Drosophila melanogaster: one gene and its partners. The protein of the gene in region 4 interacts with the protein of the main gene of each other region in a pairwise test. Each region holds a gene or a part of one and is shown on either strand. Other genes may lie near its edges. The genes, in order: Flad1, CG46385, Lamtor4 and CG14641.

Evidence for each region.
Region 1: the proteins of CG14641 (region 4) and Flad1 interact in a two-hybrid assay, tested with the Drosophila melanogaster proteins (one large-scale study listed by BioGRID).
Region 2: the proteins of CG14641 (region 4) and CG46385 interact in a two-hybrid assay, tested with the Drosophila melanogaster proteins (one large-scale study listed by BioGRID).
Region 3: the proteins of CG14641 (region 4) and Lamtor4 interact in a two-hybrid assay, tested with the Drosophila melanogaster proteins (one large-scale study listed by BioGRID).

The regions. Positions count from the first base shown.
Region 1 is NC_004354.4:12,898,552-12,906,619, reverse strand, and holds Flad1 (flavin adenine dinucleotide synthetase 1), read left to right. Parts: upstream 1-3,103; 5' UTR 3,104-3,279; coding exon 3,280-3,291; intron 3,292-3,457; exon of another isoform or gene 3,458-3,542; intron 3,543-3,653; coding exon 3,654-4,304; intron 4,305-4,768; coding exon 4,769-5,074; 3' UTR 5,075-5,267; downstream 5,268-8,068. Other genes in the region: CG4404 (uncharacterized protein), read left to right, coding at 839-1,007, 1,586-2,343; Coq8 (coenzyme Q8), read left to right, coding at 5,665-7,097, 7,165-7,717; CG32650 (uncharacterized protein), read left to right, coding at 8,033-8,068.
Region 2 is NT_033778.4:7,777,968-7,786,283, reverse strand, and holds the start of CG46385 (uncharacterized protein), read left to right. Parts: upstream 1-3,646; 5' UTR 3,647-4,557; intron 4,558-6,398; 5' UTR 6,399-6,819; coding exon 6,820-7,809; intron 7,810-8,316. Other genes in the region: CanB2 (calcineurin B2), read right to left, coding at 16-18.
Region 3 is NT_037436.4:3,891,914-3,898,459, forward strand, and holds Lamtor4 (late endosomal/lysosomal adaptor, MAPK and MTOR activator 4), read left to right. Parts: upstream 1-4,986; 5' UTR 4,987-5,023; coding exon 5,024-5,178; intron 5,179-5,234; coding exon 5,235-5,442; downstream 5,443-6,546. Other genes in the region: Fie (fire exit), read left to right, coding at 933-1,076, 1,620-2,001, 2,065-2,201, 2,256-2,345; Gr63a (gustatory receptor 63a), read right to left, coding at 3,086-4,195, 4,271-4,420, 4,481-4,690; Ccz1 (Caffeine, calcium, zinc sensitivity 1), read right to left, coding at 5,546-6,027, 6,091-6,546. UniProt on the Drosophila melanogaster protein: Regulator of the TOR pathway, a signaling cascade that promotes cell growth in response to growth factors, energy levels, and amino acids. As part of the Ragulator complex, may activate the TOR signaling cascade in response to amino acids.
Region 4 is NT_033777.3:4,228,747-4,236,253, reverse strand, and holds CG14641 (uncharacterized protein), read left to right. Parts: upstream 1-3,911; 5' UTR 3,912-4,011; coding exon 4,012-5,268; 3' UTR 5,269-5,475; downstream 5,476-7,507. Other genes in the region: abs (abstrakt), read right to left, coding at 1,266-3,125; DhpD (dihydropterin deaminase), read left to right, coding at 7,111-7,209, 7,266-7,507.

The DNA of each region.
Region 1 (8,068 bases), on a different chromosome or scaffold from region 4:
ACACACGCACACACACAGAAGCGCCTGCACACACACAAGCGTTGCAAGTGCGGCATTTGAATTGCTTAGCTTATACAATTTTATTGCAGCTGTTGTTCGCCGTTGAGTTTTTCGATATGCGGTAATCGCGGAGTCATCGGGGTATATCGAAATAGTCGCAAAGTTGTCGATATAATTTTAGTAACCGTTGAAATGTGCAAAAAATACAATTAAAGAGAAATAAACACTTCGATTACGATCACCTTGAGTTTATAGGATTAGTAAATAGTATGAAAAATTGTGTGATCTTTTGATTATCTTTGGGAAATTTCATTATTCGGCGAATAAATATCAATATAAATATATTATTTCTGGTTAGTGTATATAGATGCTGCTCTGTACACCTTTACATTCGATTTATTCAGATGTGCTCCATTGCAATATCCTGCTAATTATGTTTCAGTGTAGATCTTGCTGCCTTTCAGCGGTGTAGGGTATTCGCTGTTCGTGAGACTCAGCGATTGCCACTTGTTGTTGCTGCTGTTTTGTGCCAGCATAAAGTGTTTGCGCTGCAGCTTTTGTTGCTATTTGCTATTTGCAGTTTGCAATTTGCAATTTGCGCGCAGTTTTGGTTGCGCGTTTGCTGCGAGCAGTTGCACTTGCACTTGCAATTCTATTGCCGCGCCCCCTCCCCTTTTTTTCTGTGTCGCCCCCTTTGTTTTGTTTTGCCTCTTTTCGTTCGCGCCCCCCGCCATCTGCACCGTCTGCAGAGCAGCGCTCCTGGAATAACTGCATGTGCGATTCACCGTTCTAGTTGGCGGCGTGCGTGCGTGTGCGAGCGAGCGAGACAGACAGAGGCATGTGCTGGGTCGCAATGGCGCGCAAGGACGATCCCGTTTTCAATGTGCGGTTCGTGCAGTTCGTGGAGAATCAGCCGTGCCTGTGGAACTACACGCATCCGGGCTACAGCAAGAAGGAGGATGTGCAGAGGGCGTGGCAGCAGGTTGCCAACGATATCAAGGACACGGGTAAAAAGGCGGTAAAAAATAAATCGGCAAAAGGCAACGGCGATTTTCCGCCTCAAGCTGCTGCTTCTTCCTCTTCTTCTTCTTCGCCGCCAATTGCGTGCTCATTTCACTGTCCGTGTGCGCGCGCGCCTGTGTGTGTGTGTGTGTGTCTGTGCGTGTGTGTGTCTATGATGCAAGCTTTCGCGAATTGGTGTGCGAAACGAATGCACTTGTTGTTGTTTTCCATTTGCCTGGCTTTGCATTGGTGTAGGTGTGTCACTGTGTCGCGCAGTTTTTGCCTGCAATTTGTTGCTGCTTTTGCGTTTCGCTTTTCGTTTACTGTTGCTGCACTCAGCCAAGGTGCACTGGAAAAAAACCAAGTACTATTCGTACAACTAAATTCCCATAATAAATTCAAAATAAATACAAAATAAAAGTATTTAAACTACAAAATATTCCATGTTACAAACAAGTATAAATCCAAGAATTGAGTTTGATGTGCAAATCAACTCAGTACTGTGGTTACCTTTTGGTGAACAAGTTTCAATTTGTACCGTAGAAATTTGTACTGTAAAAGATGTGTTTTGTTTCTCCTGCAGTTCGCAACTGTCGCGAGCGATGGCGCACCATAAGGAGCAGCTTCCTGCGATCCCTGAAGCTGGCACGCACACAAACGGGACGCGGCAAGCGCAAATACTACCTATCGAAGTATCTTCAGTTTCTCGTTCCGTTCACCAAGTCGCGATCCTGCCACAAGCAGCTGCCGGGCATGGTGCTCCGCAAACCCGGCCAAGCTGCCACTGCTCAGCAGGAAGATGAGGTGGTGGCGGCGGAGGAGGAGGCCAAGGTGAGCGATGGTGAGATGCCGCTGGACGTTCAGGTGTCCGAGGAGGAGCATCGTCGTAATCAGGAACAGGATCGGGAGCAACCCACCGCCTGTTTGCCGCTCCGCCTGCATTCCATCAAAGTGGAGCACGATTCGTCAAATGCGAACCAGCAGCTGGAGCGGATGGTGAGCCAGCAGTCGCTGGTCTCGGTGCCCGCCGCCGCGCTGGGCAATCACCTGGGCTGGTCGGATCTGACGCAGTGGTTCAAGGGACATGGCAGCGGTCATCACAAGTTAACCACAACAACAACAACACCAACATCACCACCACCGCCGCCGCAGCCGGCTACGTCAGCTCTAAGTGTTTTCACTGGCGGACCAGGAGGAGGTGGCTCACAACCGGATGCCGACTACTCCTTTCTGATCAGCCTGCATCCGTACATCAAGGAGATGAACGGCAAGCAGAATCGAAAGTTTCGACAGAAGGTCGTCGGACTCATCGACGATATTCTGGATAACAAGGATGTCTAATTTGTACACGGAAAAAAAACCGAAGATGCTTACGTTTCAGCGATGAAAATTACGATTTGTAAACGGCTCTATCAAAATTACCACACACAAGAGATGCATATTTTGAATGATTGTGCGGAAATATTCTACATACCAAATGCAACATTATTTCAAAACCAACATTTTCACCACTTTCAGATTTCATTCTGGCCATCATATTGCTAACTTTTAGACAATGAACTTAGTTTTTAAATATTTATGTCTAAGTTAAGTGTGAACGTACATGAAATTTATATCGAAGTTTATATGCACTGCATCGAAATTTGTAAAGCGCCCAGTGGAACAGGATGAAATCACCAGTTATGTGATATTTTCTCTCCGTGAAGAAAAAAAGCCACAAGAATCGAAGAAAACACACCCAGTTGATAGAAAACGCCAACAGTGCCCATTTATTAGATGTGTAGAGCGTACTTTAATTACGCTTTTTATTGTTGTTGTTAAGCACACACACAAACACGAATTTGTTATTGTCGAATAAAACATTTAAACTACGAACATTTTATTTTACTTCAGACGGAACAGAAACAAAATTTGCGTATATATGTCGCATTTGCTGGCGATATGCGAAATTGCGGATTAAAATCAAAACGAAACTTTCAAAATTATTTAATGTATAAATTTCTAGCTTTTTTTTTGAATTTCTAGCTAGCCAACCGCCTTAATCGAGTGCAATCGATAGATTCAGCGCACAGCTGATGCACCGATAGTACGCAAAGCTTCCTGGCTTTGTTGTTGTTGTTGTCGCCGTTCGCTTGTTGTTGCACTAAAAAGACGAAAAAAGGAAGGAAAATCACTGGCGCGGAATAACAATTAACAAAATGGAATAATTGCATTGCTGTCGCCGTAACTCATCAGTTAAATGTGCGCCAGTAAACAGTCGATGCAGCAACGAAACACATGAGCTATTGGGTGAGCTATGCGCGTGTGTGCGTGCGCCATGTGTTTGGCCTGCATGCGTGTGTGTGCGTGTGCGTGTGAGGGCCTGAGGTTTTGGCTTTATATCACTTTTTTTTTGTTTTTGCTGACTTTTCCGATACGAAAGTGATGTAATTTTTGGCTGGCCACAAATAAGCCAACTCACTCGCACGTCAACCGCCGAAGCATTTACCACGCTCATCGCACAGTTAAAGTTTGTTTATGGGCCTAGAAAATTACATAAAGTAAATACTTACACACACACACACACACGCAAAAAAAAGATATTTTTCGGCGAAAGTTTTTTTTATGTTTTATTTATTGAGTGCTAATAGTTGCTCTTTTGACTTTAACAGCGTGTGACGTCATCGTTTTTGCTAGCCAGGGCACGGCCACGCCTCCCACAAACATTACGCCCACTGAGCACCATGAACGAATGCCGGAAGAACATCACAAACATCACAAACATTACAGCGAACAACAGCATTCTATGCGCAAAGAGCATTAGCAAAAAGCATTTGTTTCTAGAGAAACGGAGCATGTCGGATCGTTCGGAGAACTCCAAGGATGTGGCAAAGGGACAGGATATATCAAATCCAATGGAACTAACAGCCGAGGATCGACTGGCCATTGAGGAGCGGCAAAATAAAGCGTTCGCCTTCTTCGCCGAAACCCTGCAAATCTACGGCGTCGAGGAGCTAATTTTCTGTTTCAACGGCGGCAAGGATTGCACCGTGCTGCTCGATCTCCTTATGCGTTACCTGCGCCAGGAGAACATCTCCAGCGGCGACATTCCCATGCTGTACATTAAATCCGGCGATTCGTTTCCGGAAATCGATGAGTTCGTCGAGCGTTGCGTACGCAACTACCGCGTCCAGTTGGTTCAGTACGAGGGTACGCTCAAGGAGGCACTCACCCACATGTCGTCGGACATGCCGCGGATCAAGGCCGTCTTCGTGGGCAGCCGCAACACGGATCCCTACTGCCAGCATCTGGCGCCCATGCAGGTGAAGCTGGTTAGGAATATAGCAATCAGGAGATAAATCATATTTAAATGTTTTGCACTGAAATGCTCAGGAGTTCGTAGGTTCAAGTGTGAAGAAAAGTTTCTTTCTCAAGAGTAGTAGATTGATTATAAAGCCAAGTTATCAAAGTCACAGCCTTAGTATCAAAATTATGCCATTGTTAATCTAGAAAAGTATGTGCCCTTTGCCAATATCACAGTGACAGTGGCATTTTCGAATGTCATGATTCCATTCCGCAGATAAGCGAGTTCTGTGGTTCACCACCTAACATAGAATTTATTCGAGTATTTTACAAAACCAAATGTATCCCGCTTATTTGAAAATCTCACAAGATCACAAAGATAATAATGAAGCTAGCTTGAAATAGTTTTGGAAAGTTCGAAACTGCTGTTTCCTATTAGGAAACCCCAAGTGCCTAGTGATGCTAATTTCGATTTTTTTTTTAGCCCACGGACAACGACTGGCCGCCGATGATGCGCCTGAATCCGCTGCTGGAGTGGAGCTACCACGACGTCTGGCACTACATCCACTTGAACTCGGTGCCCTATTGCAGCCTGTACGATCGGGGCTACACCTCGATCGGGAATCGTGCGAACACAGTGCCTAATCCGCACCTCCGACGCACCGATGCCGAGTGTGAATGTGGTTCTAATTCCGATGCCGTCTGCTCCTGCGATCTGGGTGGCTATCGGCCCGCCTGGGAGCTCCAGGATGCCACCATGGAGCGTGCTGGTCGCCTGCCCAGGAAGTAGGATTCCATTTGCGTGGCTATAGTGTAATTGAATAGCTTAAACTCCAGTTAGTCACGAAACTTTATATAGCTGTGTATATATATTAACGTGTGATCTGGATTTCGGTAAACAAACTTAATTTAGTAAAATTTTGTACGACCTAAGGTATGCCGCTGAATAAATGTGGCCTCTGTTAGCAGGCCACTTAAGCAGTATTCCTAGTTTTTATGGAGTATTTAAATTTTTAGTTGTTTAGTTGTTGAATGTTTCTTTCTAATTTTGCATAAAAGCTGAAGCAAGCTAAAAGAGCCAAAGAAACAGCACTGGCTTCAGTGCAAAATCTAGTGCTGCAGCAAGCTGGCTTTTAAAAGCTAGAAAAAGCTCAAGATGCCATGGTGCCACTGTTAAAACGCCAGCATGGCAGCACTAGATGGCCAGTCAGCTGTTTTGCCAGCTGATTTTCGCCGCATTTTCACAACATTACGCGATTCTTTGAACTTTTTTTGCTGTGATATTTTTACGAGATTTACGTAATCCTACGCGCCGATCATCACCAGCGAATCACCCACGCGAGAGCAGTGCACAATAAACCAGTATTTCCTCGCTCCGCGATGTCGCGATCCGCACAAGAAGCTGCGGCGCTGCTGCGGGGACTGCGGATCTTGTTGGAGGCGTGTGGGCGCGAGCATCTCGCCCACGGTCGTCATCTGTGGAGCAATTCAAGCATTCGTGAGCTAATCGCCGAGAATGTGGCGCACACACAGCAGCTGGTGAGAAGTTCCAGTCAAAATCCCACCGAGGAGCTGAAAAAACTGCAGCAAACTGTAAAAGAAACGGGCGAAAGGGGCTACGTGGTGGCCAAAGGTATTTGCTCGCTGCTGGAGACGAAAATCAAGATGTCCCGCGAGGAATCGGCCATCTCTGAGCCTGCACAAGTCTCCTCAATTCGTAAATCCACACCCACGGCACAAAATCCAGCAAGTTGGGACGCCGCCAACTTGGATATATCATCCATAACGCTGCAGGAGTTCGAGGAGATACTCTCGCGCCGGAACAAAGATCGTAGTGTTAGCTTGCGCACCCCGGCAACCAAAAGCAACCAGACCATGCCCAAAAAAGAAACGTCAACCAATCCGGGCATCATTACCCAGGACACGGAGTATGTAAACAATGTGCTGCGGTTTGTGGCGGGCGCCAAGGTGGAGGAGCAGCCACCAGATGCGCAGCCGAAGAAGAAGTCCGACCAGCCGGCCATTGAAGTGCCCGAACTGAGCAAGGTGGCCAAACAGCGCAAGGTTCCCTCCTCCCGGATAGGCAGAATGGCCTCCTTTGGCGGCCTGTTCGCCGGCCTGGGCCTGGGAACCCTCAACGAGCTGACCAAGGGTGCACTCGGCCTGGGCGGTTCGACCAGCATGCGAGAGGCGTTGCTCAGTCCCGCCAATGCTGAACGCATCGTGGACACGCTATGCAAGGTGAGAGGAGCTGCCCTGAAGATCGGACAAATCCTGAGCATACAAGATTCCAGCGTTGTGTCGCCGCAACTGGCCAAGGCGTTTGAGCGGGTGCGTCAGGCGGCGGACTATATGCCCGATTGGCAGGTCGAACGCGTGATGAACACCCAATTGGGTGCCGATTGGCGACAGCGTCTCAAGAGTTTCGAGGACAAACCCTTTGCGGCTGCCTCCATTGGCCAGGTGCATCGGGCAACGCTGAGCGATGGCATGGATGTGGCCATTAAGATCCAATATCCCGGTGTCGCCCAGAGCATCGAGAGCGACATTGACAATTTGGTGGGCATGCTGAAGGTGTGGGATGTCTTTCCACAGGGTTTCTTCATCGACAATGTGGTGCGCGTGGCCAAACGTGAGTTGCAATGGGAGGTGGACTATGATCGCGAGGCGGAATACACGGAGAAGTTTCGCGAAATGATCGCGCCCTATCCCGAGTACTATGTACCGCGTGTGGTGCGCGATCTGACCACGTCCAGCGTTCTGACCACCGAACTGGTGCCCGGTGTGCCGCTCGATAAGTGTTTCGATCTGAGGTAAGCTAATGATGCAAACGCACATGCATATAGTAATCAATGGGCTTCATTGAAAATTCACTTCCAGCTACGAGCATCGCCGCCACATAGCCGCATCCGTGCTGAAGCTCTGCCTGCGCGAGCTCTTCGAGATTGAGTGCATGCAGACGGATCCGAATTGGTCCAACTTTCTGTACGATGCGCCCAGTCGCCGGCTAATGCTGATCGACTTCGGTTCGACGCGCTTCTATAGGCATGAATTCATCCGCAACTATCGCCGGGTGATCATGAGCGCCGCCGAGAACAATCGTCAGGGCGTTTTGGAGATGTCGCGCGAAATGGGCTTCCTAACCGGCTACGAGACGAAGCAAATGGAGCAGGCGCACGTGGATGCGGTGATGATATTGGGCGAGATCTTTCGCTACGACGGTGATTTCGATTTCGGTCGACAGAATACCACCGAAAGATTGGCCGCCCTGGTGCCCACAATGGTGGCGCATCGATTGTGCCCGCCGCCCGAGGAGATATACTCCATTCATCGCAAGCTATCGGGCATTTTCCTGCTGTGCGCGCGTCTGAATGTGCGCATGAATTGCGTGCCCTTCTACAAGGACATCGTTCTGGGGAAGTTCAAGGACTAGTGAGCACAGCTCACCCCTCTTCCCTTGACCATTTTCTTTTTTTTTTTTTTTGTCCAATCCAATCCCAGTTGTAAACCATAAGTGCGCTTAATTTGTAAATGCGATTCGCTGCAAGATTACATATGTTAATTTCCCAACTAACGTGTTTATCCTTAACTGACTGGGTCAGGGTTAGTTGTCAATTGAATTGGAAACAAGTAGGTTTTGAGCAATCCCCAACAGCTAACACACACACACACACATTTTAGTTAAAAACCCCAACAATAAAACACTACACAAAAAAAATATATATACATTGTATCTAATGCAAAAAACATGAAGACATTTGTGAAGACCCAAAGCATGAAGAGG
Region 2 (8,316 bases), on a different chromosome or scaffold from region 4:
GTGGCATTTTATTACCATTTTGGTTTTGCCTTTTGTGGTTCTCCTTGGATGCTATCTATAGAGTACAAATAAAGTTCGCTCTTTTCGCCGTTCCGCTCTTGGTTTTCCTCTAGTTTCCTTTAAAGTCCTACGCCGCGGGCTATCCTGCACATGCTACTGTGGTTTTTGGGCCGCTGAATTACGGTTTTGTTGTGGAAATATTCGGTTTTCTATTTTCTATTGTGCATGAGTTTTTCCACAGCAGCTTTTGGTGTGACCGCGGTTCGAGCGACAAAAAATACCTTGGTGGCCAAGGAAGAATACCAGAAAGCTTAGCGTTGGCAACGCGTTGACAGGGTTGTCAGCGTTTGTCACATTAATTTAAATTAGCGCGGTTTTTTAAAACAGAACATGTATTTATTTATTTATACTTTTAGTAATTGAACTGCATGACACTTCTTTAGTATGATCCAAAATTTCCATTCATATACTTGGTAATTTTCCTTCATTAGCAATCTTAAGTGTAAGTGCTCACAATTTACAGTTCTTATCTGTTTAAAATGTTTAATTATATCATGTAATCTGGGCTGGCTTAATCTAATGTTTTCTTATCGTGAATTCATTGTTGGCTTAATCTTATGTTTTCTTCTTGTCCATCGAAGATAGATGCATTTGTACGAGTATGTAATAAAGAAAAATAAAAACATATTCTGAATTTTGAATTTGTAATGATATATTTTCCCATTACTTAAGCTTAGTTAACTTAGCTTATTTAACAAGTAAACACGAGGAAACGCAGGTCAATATTTGAAACATTCGTTTGAAATACTACTGATACAAAATAATATCAAAACACTTTTCGAAAGTGTGCGCGTAACAGTTTTGAAAGGTTTGTGAATTATAGAGTGGGCGTGCCAATCTTACATAGCGTAGAATCTATGTACATACCCTCTAGCTTATATAGTTTTTTATTTGTTGATCGGGATGTTTATACGGACAATCGCTTCAAATGGTTACACATGCTTCTCAACGAATCAAGTATCAGGTGTAAAATCTTCATTTTCTGCAGCCCAACTTAGGAAAGTTACCCCAAGACAAATGTTTGTGGCTACGCCGCTGCATTTCGTTGGCTTCCCGCAGCAACATCAAACAACCATAGATACCATTTACTGCCCATCTGACATAATCTCTTGGTTAAACATTTCCCCAGCCAGTTGCCTGGCTTCCATCTCGATTCCATCTTCATTTCGCTGCCAACGAGCCAGCAGAACGGTCATGAGCCCAGGAATCGTTAGCCAGGAGGTAAACGGCCGCCAGGAGCCAACAGAAGCTGCGAGGGACGAGAGACATGGACGACGGCGCCGGGTGGCGGTTATTGGAGCAGGACTTGTGAGTGTAACAAAGTTATTTGAAGTATACAATTATTACTCTGCGAAAGCATAAATAGATTGTGGGTCTATAAATATAGCGAATGAAATTTAGTGTTAATCATTAACAAAATAATATATAGTCTATATTTAGAGTAGACCGTAGTACGGTTATAAACAGGCAATAATTCTAGTTAAGCTTCATAATATCTAAAACTAAGCTTTGCTAATTTGCTAAAATACACATCATAGTAGTAGAATTATAGAATTCGAATTCTTTTCGAATCATTCCTAAGTAATCTTTAAATTATGCTGCATTTTGATGTGTCTTCACATATGTAGTTAGATGCGTTATCTTTAGTGTTTTTAAATCCCTGCTTCCAGATATAAGGCTCTTATCACGCTTTCTACGCATCTTATTCTCCATAACACTAGGTGGGTTCTCTGGCAGCCTTGAACTTTGCCCGCATGGGCAACCACGTGGATTTGTACGAGTACCGGGAGGATATCCGCGAGGCCCTAGTGGTTCAGGGCAGGAGTATTAACCTGGCTCTTTCGCAGCGTGGCCGTAAGGCGCTGGCCGCCGTGGGTCTGGAGCAAGAGGTGCTGGCCACCGCCATACCCATGCGAGGCAGAATGCTCCACGATGTGCGAGGAAACTCCAGTGTGGTCCTATACGATCCCATTAACAATCAATGCCTGTACTCCGTGGGACGTCGACAGCTGAACGAAGTCCTTTTGAATGCCTGCGATAAGCTGCCCAATATACGCTGCCACTTCGAGCACAAGCTGACAAGTGCCAATCTGCGAGAGGGATCCATGGAGTTCCGCAATCCCGCCAAGGAAGCCGTAGCTGCCCATGCTGATCTTATAGTCGGCTGCGATGGTGCCTTCAGTAGTGTGCGCCAGCACTTGGTCCGTTTGCCGGGCTTCAACTACTCCCAGGAGTACATAGAAACGGGGTATCTGGAGCTCTGCATACCCTCGAAATCGGGAGACTTCCAGATGCCTGCCAACTATCTGCACATATGGCCGCGTAACACCTTCATGATGATTGCCCTGCCGAATCAGGATAAGTCTTTCACGGTCACGCTGTCCATGCCCTTTGAGATCTTCGCTGGCATTCAGAATCAAAACGATCTCCTGGAATTCTTTAAGCTGAACTTCCGGGACGCACTGCCACTGATTGGAGAGCAACAGCTCATAAAGGACTTCTTCAAGACCAGGCCACAGTTTCTGGTGTCCATCAAGTGCCGGCCGTATCATTATGCGGATAAGGCACTGATCCTGGGCGATGCCGCCCATGCGATGGTTCCGTACTACGGCCAGGGTATGAATGCTGGAATGGAGGATGTCACGCTGCTCACCGACATTTTGGCCAAGCAGCTGCCACTGGACGAGACGTTGGCCCTGTTCACCGAATCCCGCTGGCAGGACGCCTTCGCCATTTGCGACCTGGCCATGTACAATTATGTGGAGGTGGGTTTTTGGAACTAGAATTTATATAGTTTCAAATTATATTTCATTCTTTTTTCTCTACCTTGCAGATGCGAGACCTGACCAAACGTTGGACATTCCGGCTGGACCTACTACTCAAAAGCTCTAAAAGCTTTTCTTCGCCGAAGGTAGAAAGACATGGATGGTTTCGAGTATTTAAAGAGGGGGAGCTTAGTATGGTCAGAGAGCGAGAGAGACAGCGAGCTGCTCATTTCCGACTTAATTGTTGTTGCTAATTCCGTTTCGCGAACTTTTCGATGGCACTCTCTAGAATTGTCGGCGCCTCCGCTTTGCCCACACTCACTACAGTGGAACGTCGACGAGAATAAGATTTATATGATATGCAGTTAATCACGTACATAATCCTCTTACAAAATGGCGTGTACATAAAACTTAAGGTATGAAAACGTATTTAAACTCTAGAAACTTCCAGATAGTGACAAACCATTATTTACTAATGTTAATTATACAATGAACGGTGCCGAATGTCTTGTTTATGGTTTTGTATTCAACTAGCGTAAAATGTATCGAACGTTAATAGAGATTAGACTTTAAGAACGTTGAAAATTAACCTATTAATGGAATCGAATAATAACTCTTATTTTTCTGAACCCAATAGCTGTGAAATAAAAATATACATATGTATGTGTTTTAGCCACTTTTTATTTAAAACAAATGGCCAGTGATTTCAATGAGTGCCCTTTCTAAGTGAAAGTACTTTTAGGCAGGCCTTACTGTACCCACTGTACCGCTGCCGCCGTCGCGCGTCTTCGCCTGGCCGGCGGACCAATGGAGCAGGCCAGCGCCATCAGTTGCTCGTCACATGTTCGACACTCAAGTAGACCAAACACAGGGAGCTGTACAGTGCCCACCGAGATCCGATCGAACGCAGAGCAGCCGTTAGACAGAATATTGACTTTAGCAACTCACCAGGAGTTCAGTTAAACTTGCACAAACTAAAAATTCCCATAATCCAACCGGAATATCGCTCTTTTTAGGCAGGTGCAAGTGCAACTTTGTTCAGCCCTTTTTGCTGTTAAATCGAAAAACCACATTCTCGAAGCTTTTGGGCAAGCTTCCGCAAAACGAAACGATCGAAACGCGTGGTCCGAAAGCAACGAAGCAAATACGGCAACAGGCGAGCGAAAAAGTGAAATTGAAATAATTCCAAATCAAAAATCAAATTCCAAATCGAAAATCGCAAATCACAAAGTTGGAAGTTGAGTGAGCGAACGCGTGTGTTTGTGTTTGTGCGTAAGTGTCCCTCAGTGTGTGCAGTGCAACGGTATCGTAAGACGAAAAGTAACGGTAACCGAGCAATTGGGGTGTAAGCTGTCAGAATCTGTGCGCAGAGAAAACCGAAAGTTTTGGCTTGTTACCTTGCCGTAGTAATCCAAAATCAAAACCGAATACCGGATTCACCGATCGCCATCCTGGCCCGCCCTTCGACTTTAGTTTAAGGCGCTCTGCCAGCGGTTCGCCGGAACGGTAAACTCCCCCCACACCCTGCTGCCCGTCGTCGTTAGCATACCGATACCGATAGACCACCGCCGATAGCGATACTTTGGAAATTCAGCAATCCGTGCCCCACTTTAGCTAGGATTCTGTTCGGTTTTAACCCTACGAAGAAGGAGCACCCGGCGGCGGAACCCGAAGCCGTTCTGCGTAATTTTGGATAATGCGCGACTAGGCACGAGCTGTCCGAATTGTTCAGGTAAATACATTCGTACATATATATGCATATAGGTGCACACACAATCACCGTTATTGATCTCGCTCAATTAGTGGGTCTACGTGACTGCAGCGCCGATTCTCAGGGTCCGGGGTATTCGCAGATCGCATCGTGCCGCATGGTGTTGTATTCTGTTCTGCCTATAATGAAAAGCAAACCAGAAATGCGGATAACAATCTAGGCACACACCACAGCATACACCTTTCCCTCCATCTTCCCCTTCCACCCCCCTGCTCATCACTTTTGGGTCTCGGTTAGTCTTGGCATCTGGCATTTCCGGTTTCGCTATTTTTTGTCGGTGTAGATATGTATGTATGTACAATATGTAGATGAAAACACCTTCAGATATTATTCAACCCGAAATCCTCTCAAAGTGGTTTGGTTTCCTATATTTTCATTGCAGTACATATTTTGAGTACATATGTACATACATACTTAATGCAAAAAAAATAACTTAAAACTAGAATTCGAAACCAAAATTTTGCATTTAAAGATGAAACATCAATTTGTATATTTGGTGCATTTTTGTTGTTCTTAAAATAAACAATTTAATCAATCTTTTTCTTACATTTAAATATAAAACGTTTGTACTCTCTTGAATAAATAAACTTCGTAGAACACTTGCTGTGGGCAAAAGTTCAATAACAATGCAATTTAACGCACGTGGGAACCCCAAATGTTGTTATTAGTATTTATTTGACACAAAAACTAATATGTTAGCTCGTTAGACAAGAATAATTATCGTCGTTCTTACGTTCATCCATCACTTTTGGGTTCAAGAACGGTTAGTGTTCGATAATTCTGGAAAAGCACTTAACTGATTTGAAAGAGATCAGTTTGAATTTCTCTCATTGCGATTGAGTCATAAAGTCTGGTAAATAACAATAAGAGTAGCCCGAGAACTGTTTTATTTCTATACCCTTACAGAGGGTATCGTAACTATTCTCATAAATTCATTGGATTGGTTCTGACCCATTTGTACATACAATTTACATACTTACATATATCCATATCCTATTGCTACTGATAAACTTCAGTAGATGCTAGCGAATTTTGAACTTAAGGCGATTTAAAGAGTATAAAATATTTAGACGGATTTCGCGCACTTTTAAAGAGTTTAATGAGCAATCTTAGCAGTTTATGGGGAGTCAAAGTTATTGATCTTGTGGTCAGTTTAGCAATCATCACACATTTACTCGGCGACTCGGTGTCGAAAGGAAGAGCAAGGGGAAAAAATAAAGCATTCCGATACGAAAACTTACATCATCGGTCTGGGGGATAGAATGAGATGGAGGGATCAAAAGAGGGAGAACCAAATGGCAAGCATTTACATACCAACAAACATGGCACAACGGCATATGTACATACATATGTACGTATGTATGTACATGTTTTTATATATTATGCGCTATTTTTCGGCTTTTTGTTTTTGCTTTTTCGAATGAACGCAAGAAATAAGTAATACGAATTGCGCGTTTGAAAATGGTGGAGACTTTTATACTTTTAGCTCCTTTAGGAACCCACAGCAGTTAATCAAAAACAAAATGTGTGATAAAGACTCACAAAAAAAAGGGGTGGATGGGCACATGTGAGGAATACGCTTTCATAAGTGATTTTGGCTTCATTAAAATAAATCAAATGCATTTAGTACAAATAAGCAAAGTCTCGAACGGAATGGCGAAAACAATTGTTCGAGAAAGCAAATAACCAATAACTAATTTTGTTTCTTCCCCTTTCTCTTTTCTCTCTTTACATGGTGATCGCTGCCGCTCTCTCCCTCTCTCACTTGCTTATCTTGCGGTAAATGTCATCCAAACCAAAAGGGGTAGCAAAACGAAGAACAGCAATTTCGCCGAAAAGACGCAGTTAAAAAAAAGTGTTAGCAAGTGAGAAACAACATTCGTGAATTTCGTGATTAAAAACATTTCAAAAGGTGTACAACAAAAGCTCATTTAATATAAAAATAAAAAGAACGTAAGCGAAATATACAAAATATAATATCGCAGCGCGCCAACAACAAAACGTGGCACCACAAACTAAAAACACAAAAAAAGCTCAACGAAAACGAGAGCGAATGCGCGAGCGCGAGTGAGAGGGCCAGATAAGCGGAGACAAGAGCGACAACAACAAAACACAAGCGCAAGCACGATCCAAAAGCCAATTGCGCACGGAACGTAGAACGCAGAGAACTAACGGAACTGTAGAAGCGCAGCACGGATAACAGTTAACAGGGGCAATCCAAAAATGGTAAACAAGAAGGCGGACAAGGACAAGGAGAGGCAGCAAGAGGCAATGTTGCCGGCGGCGGGCAAGAATAGCAGCAACATTGAAAACAGCAGCAAACTTAGCAACAACAACAACTACAACAACAACAAAACAAACAAGGGCCAATCCACAAAGCCTAACAGCAATAACAACAGCGGCAACAACAAAAAGAATGCAGGCAAAGGAAATCAGCAGCAGTCGCAGCGCAGCGGCAAGAAAGCGAAGCCGCAACGCCAACAGATATTCCTACAGTCGCTGCCACGCGACAGCAGCAACTACAGAAGCAACAGCTTCAGGAACAGCATCGACATAAACAGCAACAGCAGCAACATGAGCAGCAAGAGCAGCAGCAACATGAGCAGCAACAGCAGCAACATCTCGGACACATTGGCAACATTGGACAGTGGAGTGGGAAAAATTAATCCCGCTGAACTGCTGACAGCCGCCTTGGCCGTGCCCTGTGCCAAATGCTCCAAGCCATCGATGATCTCCGGCCTGACCACCGCCGTAACCGCATCCACAGTCCCCGCATCCGCATCCAGCTCTTCCGCTTCTGCCTCCTCCTTTTCGTCGTCGTCAACCAGTTCCGGATCGGAGACCGCCAGCAATCACAGCGATCTCCATTACCCGGAGCCGGTTGTCTACTCCGCCAAGCAGTATCGCAAGTCCAAGTCCTACATGGGCGTATCCCAGTACAACAGCTCACAAAATGGCCATCAAGCGGGTCGGGCGCCCAATACCGCTGGCGGTGGTAATGGCAACCACGTGGCCTATAGACGCTCCCACAGCGACCGACGCAACTCGTTCGATCGCAGCTTCGCCGAAAGGAATCGTGACTTTGTGCCCATCGTCCCACCGCCGCGTCCGGTCCTGTCCTCCTCCAACATCGCCGGAGTCATGGCCAGCACCACCAAGCTGACGATCATAGAGCGGCTCGGCAAAGGACGTCTCGCGTATCCCATAATGCAGGTGAGTCCAGAACGGTTAGCACAGATATTGTCTAGAAGTAAGTTTAAGTTATTTATTATTCGATGGGCGGGGTGTGTGCTGTTTATTTGCGTTGACGAACTTATTTATTGGCACAGTTGGCAGTTTGACTTTAGTGTATCTGCTATCTGCTATCTTTAGAATATAGAGTTTGAAAACCTGCAGGCTAGGTGGTGAACTTGAATAGTAGATCTTAGCTTAAGCCCAAAAAAAAAAAAAACGACAGAACCTTTGACTCGGGGAAAAACGTGGAAAGAAATCACCGCATTTCTTGGAAAATTTATTGATTTATATCACAATATATTCTGAAAACGAAAGTACTCAATTATGGGTTTAGAACAGGAAATACCACAGAAAAATGCACATTGAAATATGATAAAATGTAGTTATTTATAGAATATCTTCGAACTTAGTTGTGATTTTCAAGTGCAAATGGTATGATTTTGATAAGGTAATGCGCATTGCATTTATAGTTCGGCTAGACGGTCA
Region 3 (6,546 bases), on a different chromosome or scaffold from region 4:
TGGCATGTTGCCCAGTGGCATCGACACGACTTTGATTCTCTTTCCGCGCCGACTGGCAGGAGTTTTATGGCCTGCTTTGGCGAAATTTATGTTACATTTTTATAGTTCCAGTGTAAATTGACTTTTAAAATGCAAAAATTTATCATAGCAACGGGCTGCAGTATGCAGGGGGAAGTCCCGCGCCAACTTTAATTGCCTGCGCCCCGCAAGACGGTGGCAACTCTGGCGGAAGCTTCGAAAAGTCAAAAGAAAGCTCTGTGAATGGGACGATAAACATCTGCGCGGTTTCAAGAGGAAAACAACCCCCAAAATTGTTCGCCAAGGCTTTATTTATTGGAGAACGTTTAGATACTCTAAATCATAATTAATGATTGTAATATTTTACTAAGAAAACGATATACAACTTTAAAAAAGGAGATTCACAAGCTAGCTTGGCTATTTTAATCAACGTTTGGTCGGGGTCACCAATTGAAAGTCATTACTGAATATAAAGCTATTAAGCCATAAATTTAAAAAAAATATTTGGTTAGTCTAAGAATACTTTGATTTTTGAATTATCCTTACATGTACATATATTGTATAAACCACACGCTTTAGATAGCCAAAAAACTCAACGGCAGAGTATGAAACAAAACACAGTCGTAAAAGCTTTTCGCCGAGTCAAAACATTTTGCGGACCTTGGCACTCAACGTTGTTTTATCCATATAGTTTTTTTGATTAATTCGCTAGTGCAGTTTACGCCCCAAACCACAGGAAAAAGCTCCGGAAAAGTTTGGGTCGCGTGGGTGTTGCCCCTCCACCTTTTCGCGAGGTCTCCAAGTTCAATTGCATGACGAAACAGCCGCGGAACAGTTGCGTCGCTCCTTGATTAGCTGAATAAGCGGGAAAAATCCATAAATTGATTAAGTAAAACTCGGAAAACTAAAGTGAAATGCTGCTGCCAACGGTCAGCGGCCAATCCGCCGCAGGATGCAAATGGAAAAACTGCTGTCGCCGCAGCTGGGAAATGCTGATGGCGCCCGTATCGCCCAAGAACCTCAGGACCACGGCGCTCTTGACGAGCATCTACCAGTTGGTAAGTTCAAACATACATGTATATATAGTAGCGGATTATATAAGAGACTGGAGAATGGATATCTCAGGCGGGGCGCAGCGCACTGGCACGCAGGGAGATCCGGGAATCCCCGAGCAATCCACAATGTGCAGCCGCGGCCCCAAATACAAAAATTACGCACTGGATATGCAAAGCCATACCCCACTGGGCGCGCAAGGAGGCGTCGAAGGCGGCAATGGAACGCTCGCCCCCGCCTATCCCCGGAGAAGTCCAGGGGCGGAGCGAAGGAGACGCTCCTGCGGCGCAATGCGTCCGCACTTGAGTTTCGTGATCGGAAACGTGCCAGGACGAGCACCCTTTTTAAAGCTCTTCTCCTGAAATATATTGGGAGTTGTTGCGAAAGCTCCTAGAACCAGTTGGGAATTGTAGAAGCAGCTTTCTGGCTTCGTTCAGTTTGGTGAAAAATAAGGGTGGTAGCTTCAGCAGATCGCTGGGTTGTTCCGGTTTTCGCAAACACTTTTTGTTAAGTGAGATCCTAAACAGTCGCTTTTCTATATTCCCCAGTTAATCTCCCACTGCGCCCTTTTCCTGGTTCTCCTGGGACTGGCGCATGCCGAACAGATGTGCGAGGTGCTGGAGCTGGACATCTTGGACCAGAAGGACAATGGTTTCTACAACATGTCGCCCTTTCACAACGATCTTCGCCTGCAAACCGCTGCCCAATTGGCCGTCGCCACGGAGAATCTGCTCTACGTGATGGCTGGTATCGCGGGTACCTACGCCCTGAGTGCCATATTCCTGTTTTTCGGAGTCTTCAAAAATCGGCCGGGCCTAATCATACCCTGGCTGGTTGTGGAGTTCCTATTAATGATTGGTTTGGGGGCACTGGTCTTCATGCTGAGGGATACAAAAATCGTGCAATTGCTGGGTGGTCAAGTGCCCTACTGTAAGTTTGGATTTTTAGGCTTAAATTTTGAAGTAAATAATAACGAATTATCTTATATTTCAGTTATCATTTGCTACATCTTGATCTGCATGGATTACTGCAAGTGGTATGTGATGCATAGCTTCTACCAGAGTCTACGCACCATGAATAAGCTTCGAGAGATTGCCACTGTGGCCATACCATGTCCAGCTCCAGGAGCCGTAAGTTGGTATCAATATTTTGAAAACTTTAATAGTAACTTTCTTATACATTAGATACCCTATCGTTTCCAACGCGAGCACATGTATCTGGGCAGCAATGGATATAAGCACATTCTAACCGAGTCTCCCGATGGACAGTGTTAAACATGTACTGAAAGATTGGATATTTTTGGAACTTCCCATCAGGTGTCTTGATTGCAATTGCACTGCAAATTCTGTATTGCAAAACAGAGTGTGATATGGTTTTGGTAGAGATACTATTTTATATAGCCAACGGACATGGAGCGGCTTATTAGAAATGCAGAATCGGTTCAAAGCGTTCGGCGATTAAACTATAAACTATTTTTGTGTAGAAATAGCTCCCAAAGCACCTTAAAAAATAAAAAAAATAATAATAATATTTGGTCACTAACGCGACTCGAACTCGGAACTTCGAAGCGAAGGTCGCACTCTCTAACCCCTAGGCTACGGCAGCGAAACTCTCGGGATAGCCGAGATTGATTAAGCCCCAAAATCTTGAAACGAAAAACTTGTCTTAAATAAATTGGCGTTCATACAAATATGTATTGTAGCAACGAATTTTTTAAAGCTTAGTTTCTCAGTAGATTTACCACTACTTAACTATAATATGCCTTAAATTCTGTTGACTAGCAATATTTTAGGTATTTCTATTTTGTGGCACAGAACGAATATCAAATAAAAGTGCAAAATTGTAACATATCTAATGAACGTGTTTTTTATTATTTCCACACTTACTAATTTAATGTACATCAAGTTAGAAAAATGTTTGGAATATTCAGTTTTGGGTGCTTTTATTATTTGGCCTCAGCTACAGATGCACATTATCTAATAATATCTTTCTTGTCTTAGGATTATTTGTTCCACTAGCCTTTCCGGCCCTTTAGCTTCATAATTGGCGGTGGCAAAGTGGTTCCTACAGTGGTGGTGCTCAGAGTGCTGGCTCCCATTAGACTCATATCGTTATCCAGGCTGTCCATTACAAAGTCCACTACGGTTATATTGTTAGCGCCTTCAGAATCCCCCTTATCTGTGGGGATACTGATCTGAAACTGCAGCAAAACCACCAGATAAGTGACCATTGTGGTTAAGAGTCCTTTAAAGAGAGTCCTGTTCACATCAAAAAAGCCACCGCAGTTGATGGTCGATGGATTCATTTCGGTGGCTCGCAAAAACATATTTATCTCCGTCTGGGCATCCGAGTTCATCCAGTTAAGCTCCACCATGAGTAGTTTCTTCTGGAAATTGGTTCGCACATTAACCGAGGCATAATGTGCCTCATCGCAAATATAGAAGAGCAGTCCTATGTTCCACAAAGCCGTGATAGTCAGTCCTATGTCCTTGATGCCAAATCCCTCGGAGAGTTGCGACATTAGTCCATAAATCGAAAGGGTAATGATGAAGAACAAGTAGAGGCTCATGAAAACAAAGGTGTAGCACAGGGCATTTCCAGTATCACGGGTCAACTTGCTCAGTCGTAGCCACAGAACACGGTAGTCTGCCACCATGGCAGCGGGTCCAATGTGTTTCAGTGCCTTCTGGAACCGCTCCGCCAGAAGATGAGCCGTAATGCTCATGGCCTCGCAGATGAGGAACCACCAGGCACCCAGCATTGCAGTCAAGTTGTCCAGGATGCAGTAGGGCACCACCTGGTTAATGTTCAAATCCGACATGGTGACGTGCGTGATGACCACCGATAAAACCGAGAGAATTGGCAGCACGATGGCTATGTACACCGCCTTCTGTCGCAATTTCAGAGGCAAACTGTGCCCGGATATCTGGTAGTACAACACCTCAAAGTCATCCCAATCATTGAAGAGCTTTGCTATCTTCCTGGCCTCGTACCACAATATTGGTATAATCATAATGGGCAGGATGTTGACCAGAAAGAGGTATGCAATAACCGCCTCCTCGAAGGGTCCACTCAGGGAGCGCACAATGTGGATGCGGTTGTTGGCCACATAGCCTACATAGCACTGTAAAGCGGTTTTGGGTTACATAATGGTATCCATAGTCAATTTTGAAAAATGTTATGCAAACACCACACTCACCGCCAGGAGCACAAAGAAAACCACCGAGTAAATAAAGGAGGCGGAGTTCATTTCGAACTTGGCACGAGCAGGACCATGTCGCACGATGGGTAATACTCCAATAATCCTCAAGAACCAATTGATGGGATCTATGTTTCGGTAGAAAACACTCTGAAAGCAGCGAAATTCAGTTTTACAAAAATGGTTTTAACAGCGTAGCAATCCACAAACCGGCTTAAATTCCGGATTATTGGACGCCGTGCTGTCCGAGCTCTTTTTCCTATCCAACGGAGGAGCTTCGTAATCCGCATCCAATCGCTCCGCCAATCCAATGGAGTACTTGCGGACCCCGTACAAGTATGCCTGGGCATTAGCACTGTTCAGCGGTTTTGCATTGAGGAACACCGCGTCACCCTTCTTGCGTCGATAGTAGTTGGCCATTCCGGAGAGACTGTGTCCGGAATTTCCTTGTCCGTGGCCTTTTACCACTTTTTCGCCAGACGGACGCATTAGCCATGCACCTGCACACGCCCCCTTATCGACCACGCCCTCTGTTGACTTAGAGCCGGAGTTTTAGTTTCCTGTTGATGTGCGTTGTTTGTCTTTTGAATGAATTAACCTTAGCCCGGTGTCCCAATTTCGAATTTGTGTCAATGGCGCGCATGTGGCAATTTACAACACTGAAACCGGGCTGCCAGGCTACCGATTTGGTATCTAAATGGATCTAGTCCGGTCACACTGGTGGGTGTGGGTGCGAAAGATAAATAAATAAATATGTTGAAAATGGACAGGGAAAAGTTGATTGTGCCCAATCAAATTGGCTATCTGATACTAAAGGAAGATGGAGCAGTTCTGGAGTCCGGCGGAGATCTGAAGAACGATGAGCGCAGTGCAAATGTGATAATGGGATTACTAAATCTCACAGAGACGTGCGTTTTTAAACAAAGGATGAAGGAATTTTGTAATAATTACGCCTATATTGTAGCATCGACGAGTCCTTCATGCCGAGCAGCAGCTGCGAGAGGATCACCATCGATTACGAGCATCACTACTACAGCATCTGCATGTCCAACCGTAGAATATACATCATTAAGATCAGCAAATCGCAGAATGGCGTCACCACGACCACGAGCTCCTCCTCGTCGAACAGCGTGTATAACGATGCCAGCGATTCCGGGGCAGTGCTGGCTTGAAATCCGTCGTCGGATGTCCGACCCACTTGCAGATTCTGTTGGCAAGCAACCGGACAAAGACCCCACAATTGGCGCACTCCCATTATTTACCTAATCCTCCTCTTTATTTGTCAAAAAATACATCATCTGTGAGCTCTTGCTCGAAAATGCGCCTCGCTTCCTGGGTGACGTCCAGCAAGGTGGCCTTGCTATTGCACAGGATCACATAGTACTGCCTGTAGTTACAGCGCCGCTTCACAATCCAATAGTCATTGGTGGTCTTGACCTGAACTTCCTCGGCAGGAGCACTCTCCATTTCCGCCTTGCCACTGCCATTGGCCAAGTCCGCAATGATACTAAGCACATTGCGGGGCAGCCCTTGGGGCAGGTGCCTCTGAAAGTTCGTGTGGTGCTGCAGGCTTTGTTCGTTAATGAACAAGTACTTCGGCGCCGTTTCGCTGTTCCCGCTGGAGTTGTCCTGGCCTGCAGCACCCACCGCCTCCTTTGTCAACTCGCTGGATATGTCCCGGGCCAACGAAGTCAGTTGGGGAGCCATGTAGGCATGGAGATCGTCGTAGAGATCTTGTTTCGGCGCAACCTGGTCAGCTGACAAATGTGGAATGTTTCAAGTTGATTATTTTGGCTATTTAGTTCTAATCCTTAACATACCATTCAGAAACAGACACAGAGTTATGTGCAAAGCGCGGTAGATGAGCAAGTAGTAGGGTTTGGCCTCCTTGTCCAGTGTCACATAGACCTTCATTGGATGATCTTCCTCATTCACAGCGTCATGTTCATCTCCTGCGACCTTCTGACGACTTCTTACGAATCCGCCCACCTGGCATTCACTTATGCTTCGCTTTAGTGAAGGAGAAACTGCAATGGTGGAACTGCTGGCCTCGACTTTCAGCACGTGTTGCACGACATACGAGTGCACGCAGTGCAGATCCTCCGGGCTAAGTTTTCCGCCACAAAGGACCTGCTCCTGGTAGAGCATTATGCTCTCCTTGATGTCGGGGAAGGTCTCGCACAGGGTGCCAAAGTTTTGGGCCCGCAAGAAGAGCGTTTTATCCAATGGCAGATACTGAATGGAATGCAGCATATCGATGATATCACATTGCGCGG
Region 4 (7,507 bases):
TGTATCTCGAGTGCGCTGCTTGATCAGAGCATAATGTTAAGGAGAGCAAAAAAAAAGTGCCGCAAGCGTGTAATCGCATATTGTCATTCAGTTAATTAGTTTCACCTGCGTATGAGATCACGACTGTTTTCGTCAAGCGGCAAGCCCATTTGGCCCTTCCTTGCAACTGGGTCACAGCCAAAAAAAAAGAAATCAGTTTTTATTGAGAACTCAGTATGGGATGGAATCATATAAGATTTTTAAATTATGTCGGCAAGCACATTAGTTCCAATTTGTAAAGGCTTGGGAGCCAGTCAGGAGTACGTCATACGTACTTCGAAATGATACCTATTTGAAATGAAAGTGATGGGCCACAGCATGTTCGGAATAATATTCCGAAGCCGGCCATAAGTTGGACCAGCTTGAATTGGTTGGATAAAGGCAGTTACCCATTTTCCAGTGCCAAAATCATACAAACGGATTCTTGGACAAACCGCGCGCATGGGTAACATTTAAACATTCAAATGTGTATCCAATTATTCAAATCCAATCCAAATGCCAATGAAGTTGGGGATAATTTAACGGAGATAAATTAACCAAATTTTGTAGGTACCATCAATTTAATTTGATCATATTATACAGTGTTATGAATTTATTTTTTCAAGAACACACAGCTTGGTAAAAAGCTAGTGGCTTATCTAATATAAAACCGACCTCAGTTCCGATGATTGTTTTCAAAGCAGTAGATAAGACAAATCAACGACCAATTTAACGAAATGAACTCAGCAAAATAATAGCTTTGAAAGTTGTTAATGTCTATATAATCAGCCTTCAATTGAAATCATTTAGGCTAGTCTGAATTTTACTTTATACTAGAGTAACCTACTATTCTGGGCGATGTTATTACATATTGCTGATAAAACATCATTTAATTTTTGGGGCACACTTACTTGTAAGTCAATACGATCTGCGCAATTTCTCACGATCCCAGTGCGATGATTGAATAAAAGCGCTTCGAACGACAAGCATGCAGAGCTCTGCCTCAGACACTAAACGAAAGCCAAAGCTCGTCTTCGCTTTTATAATATTTTTCTTAAGCCCGAAACGCGCGCGCGTCCGGCCGAGATCGCTCTCTGGGGTTGCTGGGACGATTGATAAGCAAAGCTTCGTGCGATAAGCAGCAAACTGAACTTAAAACAGAGTGAAAATAAATTTAAAAGTTCCCAGAAAAGTATGTATGTATACTAATCTATTTATTACTATTTTAATTTGGTGGTGGTAGTGGTTTAGTAATCCGCAGCGGTGTTAGATAGGTAGTCGCGACGTCCTATGTTTGAAGCTTGCTTGTTCTGAACAGCCTCAAGTTTTGGGCACTCCGTGATGCGATGGCCCAGACCACCACAGTAGGTGCAGCCATGCGAGTCACCCAGGTCCAGGTGCTGGTGTTCGGTCTCAGGTGCCAGTTCGTCCAAGAAGTCCGGGACCTCTTGCTTGCCCTCGATTAGCAGGTGCTTCAGGTCGAGCAGAACCGACTGCTCGGTAGTCTTGTTTATCAGCGTCGTAGCCAATCCCTTAGTGTTGGAACGACCTGTGCGGCCAATACGATGCACATAGTTTTCAATATCGTCCGGCATGTCGTAGTTAATAACGTGTTGCACGTTAGGGAAGTCCAGGCCCTTCGATGCCACGTCGGTGGCCACCAGCACATCTTTTTTGCCCACGCGGTAAGCATCGACTGCCCGCGATCGTTCTTCCTGATCCTTTCCGCCGTGAATAGCCACCGCCTCCACGCCTTTCAACAGCAGATACTCATGTATGCAGTCTACATCCTGCTTCTTCTCAGCAAAAATGAGCACGGGCGGCGCGGTCTTCTGTAGGCAGTCCAGCAAATATACCACCTTTGCCTCTTGCTTAACGTACTCAACCTGTTGGGTGACGTTCATTGACGCAGCACCTGCGCGACCCACATTTATTGTGACAGGCTTCACGAGAGCTGATCGAGCAAAGTTCTGGATCTTTTTTGGCATGGTGGCAGAGAATAAAAGTGTCTGTCGCTGGCCTTTGAAGAAAGAGAATATCGTACGAACGTCCTCTTCAAATCCCATGTCAATCATGCGGTCAGCCTCGTCCATGCACAAGTACCGGCACATGTCCAGCGTAAGGATCTTCTTGTCCAGCATATCCATTAGACGACCAGGGGTCGCCACCACAATATGTACGCCGCGTGAGATGACGTCAAGGGCCTCGCTGACCGGCAAACCACCCATGGCCAGGCAGGAACGAATCTCAGGCATTCCGCATGCCTGGAGGTGCTTGCTGTAGTGTTGAATTATCTCGTGTGTTTGCTTGGCCAGTTCGCGGGACGGGCAAATGATCAGGCCGTAGGGGCCCTCGTTACGCTCAAAAGGCAGACTATACTCCTGTTCCAGGGCAAACATGATGACTGGCAGCACGAAGACAAGCGTTTTTCCAGACCCAGTGAAGGCTATTCCAATTAGGTCGCGGCCGGCTAGTACAGTGGGCAGGCCTTGCACTTGGATTGGGGTCGGGTTCTTAATGCCTTTGGCCGCTAAGCCGTTAAGTATACCTTTAGGGAACTTCATTTCCCGGAAGCTGCGAATTGGCGGGCTGGGGGTTTCTCCCTCCACTAGGATCCTCAACTCGTGGCGAACGGCCTCGCGCTCTTCCTCCGACATTTCCCGAATGTAACGCGGCGGTTTCCAAGCTGTTTTAATAGGCTGCTCGTACTGAATCCCCTTCGCCAACTCTGCCACACCCATAAGGGCCTTCTGCTGAGCAATGCTCTCCATAATCTTTTCCTCCTCTCGCAGCTGCTTTTCGACGGCACTCAACTTTTTGGCCTCGGCAATTTTCTTCAGTTCTGTGTGCTGGTCCAGCAGACTAATGTTGTACTTGCGTCCCCAGGTCTCGACATCGTGCGCACCCTGCGAGTCGTCTTCATTCTCATTCTCGCTTGACGACTTGGGCTGGGCCGTTTCCGAAACCAGTTGCACGATCCTGCCCAGCTTTATCATGTGCTGCTTCTTCCGCTCCTTCACCGGTACGTATGGCACGTAGTCCTCGTTGTCCAGGTCGCCTTCCTCCGAGGACTTAGACGACCTCCGATACCGCTTTACGTGCGCCATAGCATTCGATCTATATTTCTGATTTTTGTTTGTTTCGTTTTCGCCTAATTTGACTACAACAAAGGCCACCGTACGACGTTTTAAATTAGGCGAGCCCGAAAAATACTATATTCTAATGGGTATCGATTACAGTTATTAAACAGTGATTCCACTGACAGCTTCTTGCTTATGATATATTCATGGCATGCAGACCGGATAATAGTTTTTTTTTCAATTTGGGCAAAATCTTTCGATTTCGTTTTTAGGTGCTCTGGTTTTCTGAGTTTGAGATTGAGTCTTTCTTTTTTTGTGAAAACCAAGCAACGTGAAAAATGCAACTTTTAGCGCGAAGGTTGCCATACTGTTGGTGAAATATAACAGGCAGGTAAAAATACTTAGTAAATATATTTAAAGCAGGGCCAAAAGTGCTGTTCGTAAATAATGATAATTAATTGAATAACATAAGTGGTCAGAGCGCAGTGAATACGTAACTGCGAACATCGGAATTAAAAGTGCCAAAAACTCTGTGTAAATCGCCCAGAAACATTTTATATGAACTTATGCGTGCTATCAAAAGTGTTTCAGGAACATTTCTGTTAAACGGTTAGCGAACATGAATAGTACAGAATAGTAGAATATCGTATTGATCGGTTTCGGATCAGTCGAATGCAATATATTTTTGTGTGCATTTGGGTATAGATATATATTCTAAGCAGTGTGAATATGCTATTAAATTCAATAAATTATATCGATTGCTGACTTTGAACTAACTGTCTGCTTCTGGCTCAACTTATCGATATTGGTATATCACTCGCGACACACCACCATTTTCGACAAGTAGAAAGCGAATGAGCATTGTCTAAATTTAGCTCGGATTTTAAGTGCAAGGTACATAAGTGCCGCTGCTATGTCTATGTCAAAAACGACTAACACCTATAACCGGCAGAACTGGGAAGATGCTGAATTCCCAATTCTGTGCCAAACTTGCCTTGGCGACAATCCGTACGTGCGGATGATTAAAGAGCGGTTCGGCAAGGAATGCAAGATATGCACGCGTCCATTCACAATATTTCGATGGTGTCCTGGTGCTCGTATGCGCTTCAAAAAGACGGAGATATGTCAAACGTGTGCGCGCCTGAAGAACGTGTGTCAGACCTGCCTCTTGGACCTGGAGTACGGACTGCCGATTCAAGTACGAGATGCGGCGCTCAAAGTGGCTGACAATATGCCACAAAGCGACGTTAACAAGGAATACTACATCCAAAACATAGACGCCCAGCTGCAGGACGGAGATGGCACGGAGGCGGCAGGAGCTGTCGGTCGATCCCTCGCCGCCAACGAGATGTTGTCCAAGCTTGCGCGCACAGCACCCTATTACAAAAGAAATCGGCCGCACATCTGCTCCTTTTGGGTTAAGGGCGAGTGCAAGCGTGGAGAGGAGTGCCCATACCGCCACGACAAGCCCAACGAGCCGGACGATCCGCTATGTGAGCAAAACATCAAGGACAGGTACTACGGACGCAACGATCCTGTGGCCGAGAAGATCATGAAGCGTGCAGCCTCGCTTCCCACACTCGAGCCGCCGGAGGACCGCAACATCACAACTCTCTATGTGGGGAACCTTCCTGAAGAAATCACGGAACCCGAGCTGCGAGATCAGTTCTACCAGTTCGGCGAAATTCGATCAATTGCGCTGGTGCCACGCCAGCAGTGCGCTTTTGTGCAATACACCAAAAGAAACGCTGCCGAGCTGGCTGCTGAGCGGACCTTTAATAAACTGGTGATCCAGGGCCGGAAGGTGAGCATTAAGTGGGCTCACTCTCAGGCAAAGCAGGGCACCGCTGCAAAGACAGACAGACGCTTCGACTTGGCCGGCATTCCACCGCCTAGCGCGAAGCCCAACGACTACTTCAATCTTCGCCAAGAGCAAATCAATGTCATGCCCGCCGGCATGAAGCTGCATCAGTTGCCATCAAATCTAGTTCCGGCGTCGGCTTACCAAATGTATGGTCAGCCTACTTATGCAGCTCCCTACGGAAACGCCACTTCCACAGCCCTTTCTTCCTCGGGTGTCAATTTGGATTCCATATCGATTCCTCCGCCACCGGGTCAAGTACCGTATCCAAGTCAGGACGCCAGTCGGATGGGAGCTGTTAAAAAGTAGGAAAACCCTGTGGTCTACAATGGTTCCAATTCAATAAATCATTTTTATAAAATTAAATACAAACTTTTTAAAGTGGTCAGTTCCATAAAAATGACTTAATATTAATAGAATTTATCCGTATGGACGAAATTGTTTTCGATTCGAATTGTTAAGAAAAAACACCAAACAATTAGAGAGGAGAAGATAATAATAAATGATTTAAACTCTAAAAAAAAAAAGAAAAAAAGAACAAATTTTCGTCACAAAAGCTTATATCAAAACTTTTGTACATATGTATGTTGATGTGCGTTCGTCACTCGTTTTTACCTTTAATAAATGCTTTTCTTTGATTTGGACGATATTTGGGATTAAAAAAAGTACACCAATGCACATGTACATATGTAAGTTCATTCTTCAGTATTTATAGGGGAACTTAACATTGGGATTATGACTACCTCCCTGCATTCCATTCATTCAGATTTCATCAGCTCATTACTGATCATTAAAAATCTCGATCAAATTAATCACAGGTTAATTTGTATTAAAAAAAAAAACCATGACCTGAACCTATGTTCTAGGAAATCATCGCATAGCGCAAAATCAAAATCACGCATAAGCGCTATAAATGATAGCTCAATTCATCTCTCTACACCTCTTTTTATTCACTTAATCCTCTATCAATTTTAATGAAAAAGTGAAATTTCAGTCATTTATTAATAAAAATGTATTTTCTTAATTAGACTTATTTAAATTATGCATAGGATTTAAATTTAAGAATACAAATACATATATATGTATGTGAAATTCCAGAGTCTTTGGCGTCCTGTCCTACGGAGTTAGGACCAGCTTCTTTTCAGTTCACATGTCCGATTTACCTTAAGGTAAAATAATGTATAATTATGTATACAAAAACGAGTTAAACCAATTTACCTTAAATTATCGTTTCTGTGAGTAGTGTTTGTTGCTTATTGTAAAATAAATCCATTACCTGTAATTATTATTGAATTAAATTCCAAAATATTTACAATTTTTTTTTAAAACAAGCACTCAAAATCGCGTCTACTTCTCACAAAAGTCTATAGGCAAGTGATCTGCAAACATGTTCTATGTACATTACAAATTTAAAATTTAAATTTAAATTTGCAATTAAATAAAAAATCGCATACTGAGACCTTCGGTTAGAAATTAAAAAGCGATGAATTTGTTTTCAAAATCATCGCTTATTCCTCGTTATGATTAAGAACATTAGCATCGCTTTAAAATTTTAAGAGAGAGATGATGTAATATTTTTTAATAGCGATGAATTGTGGGACTACAGGGTAGGTAAAGGTTACATATGTACAGGTGCGAGCAGTGCAAATATGTTTATTCTAATGAAATCTTAGACTAACTGTAAATTATATAATGGCTATATTTCTTTTACCCGTCACTCTTACTCTTCTTTACTTCCAGAAAGGGGGTTTTGTCTTAGCTAAACATATGATTAATGTATTCTATGTTTTTTCAATATTCATTCCAATATACAATTTTACAATTAATGGTTTTGCAACAGCTATTTTGAAGTTAATTATTGCTTGTTTTGTAGTTTTTACCGATAAATCACACGTGTGCAAGCGATCGCTTATTAAAACAGTAATAAGTAATAATATTTAAAGTAACGACCAAACGATTGGGAATAATCTTTCCAGCGATTTAAACCTTGAAATAAAAAGTAAGTGTCATCCCCGTATGATTATGCGCACATTCGCAGGGCGACGCGTGCACCTAGGCGAGAGTTTTAAAACTTGTTCAGCGGATCTTGATCATTACATTCTCAAGTCTGTCGTACAGCACGTTTAAGCCCGCTGATAGTAAATCAGAGCAATGGCAACCGTGTTTCTTGGAACTGTCGTGCACACCAAGTCGTTCAGCGAGTTTGAGTCCTTTGAAGGAGGATTCCTGGCAGTGGACGACGCTGGCAAGGTAGGCAATTTAATGCCCAGAACAAAACAATGAGCAATGAACAATTTCGCTCACAGATAATAGGAGTGGGACAAGACTACCATGCGTGGGCAAGCAGCAATCCGGCCCACGCCAAGGGTCTGACCGAGGTTCACCTGTCGGACTACCAGTTCCTCATGCCGGGCTTCGTCGACTGCCACATACACGCCCCGCAGTTTGCGCAACTGGGACTGGGACTAGACATGCCTCTTCTGGACTGGTTGAACACATACACTTTCCCGCTGGAGGCGAAGTTTTCCAACCACCAATACGCCCAGCA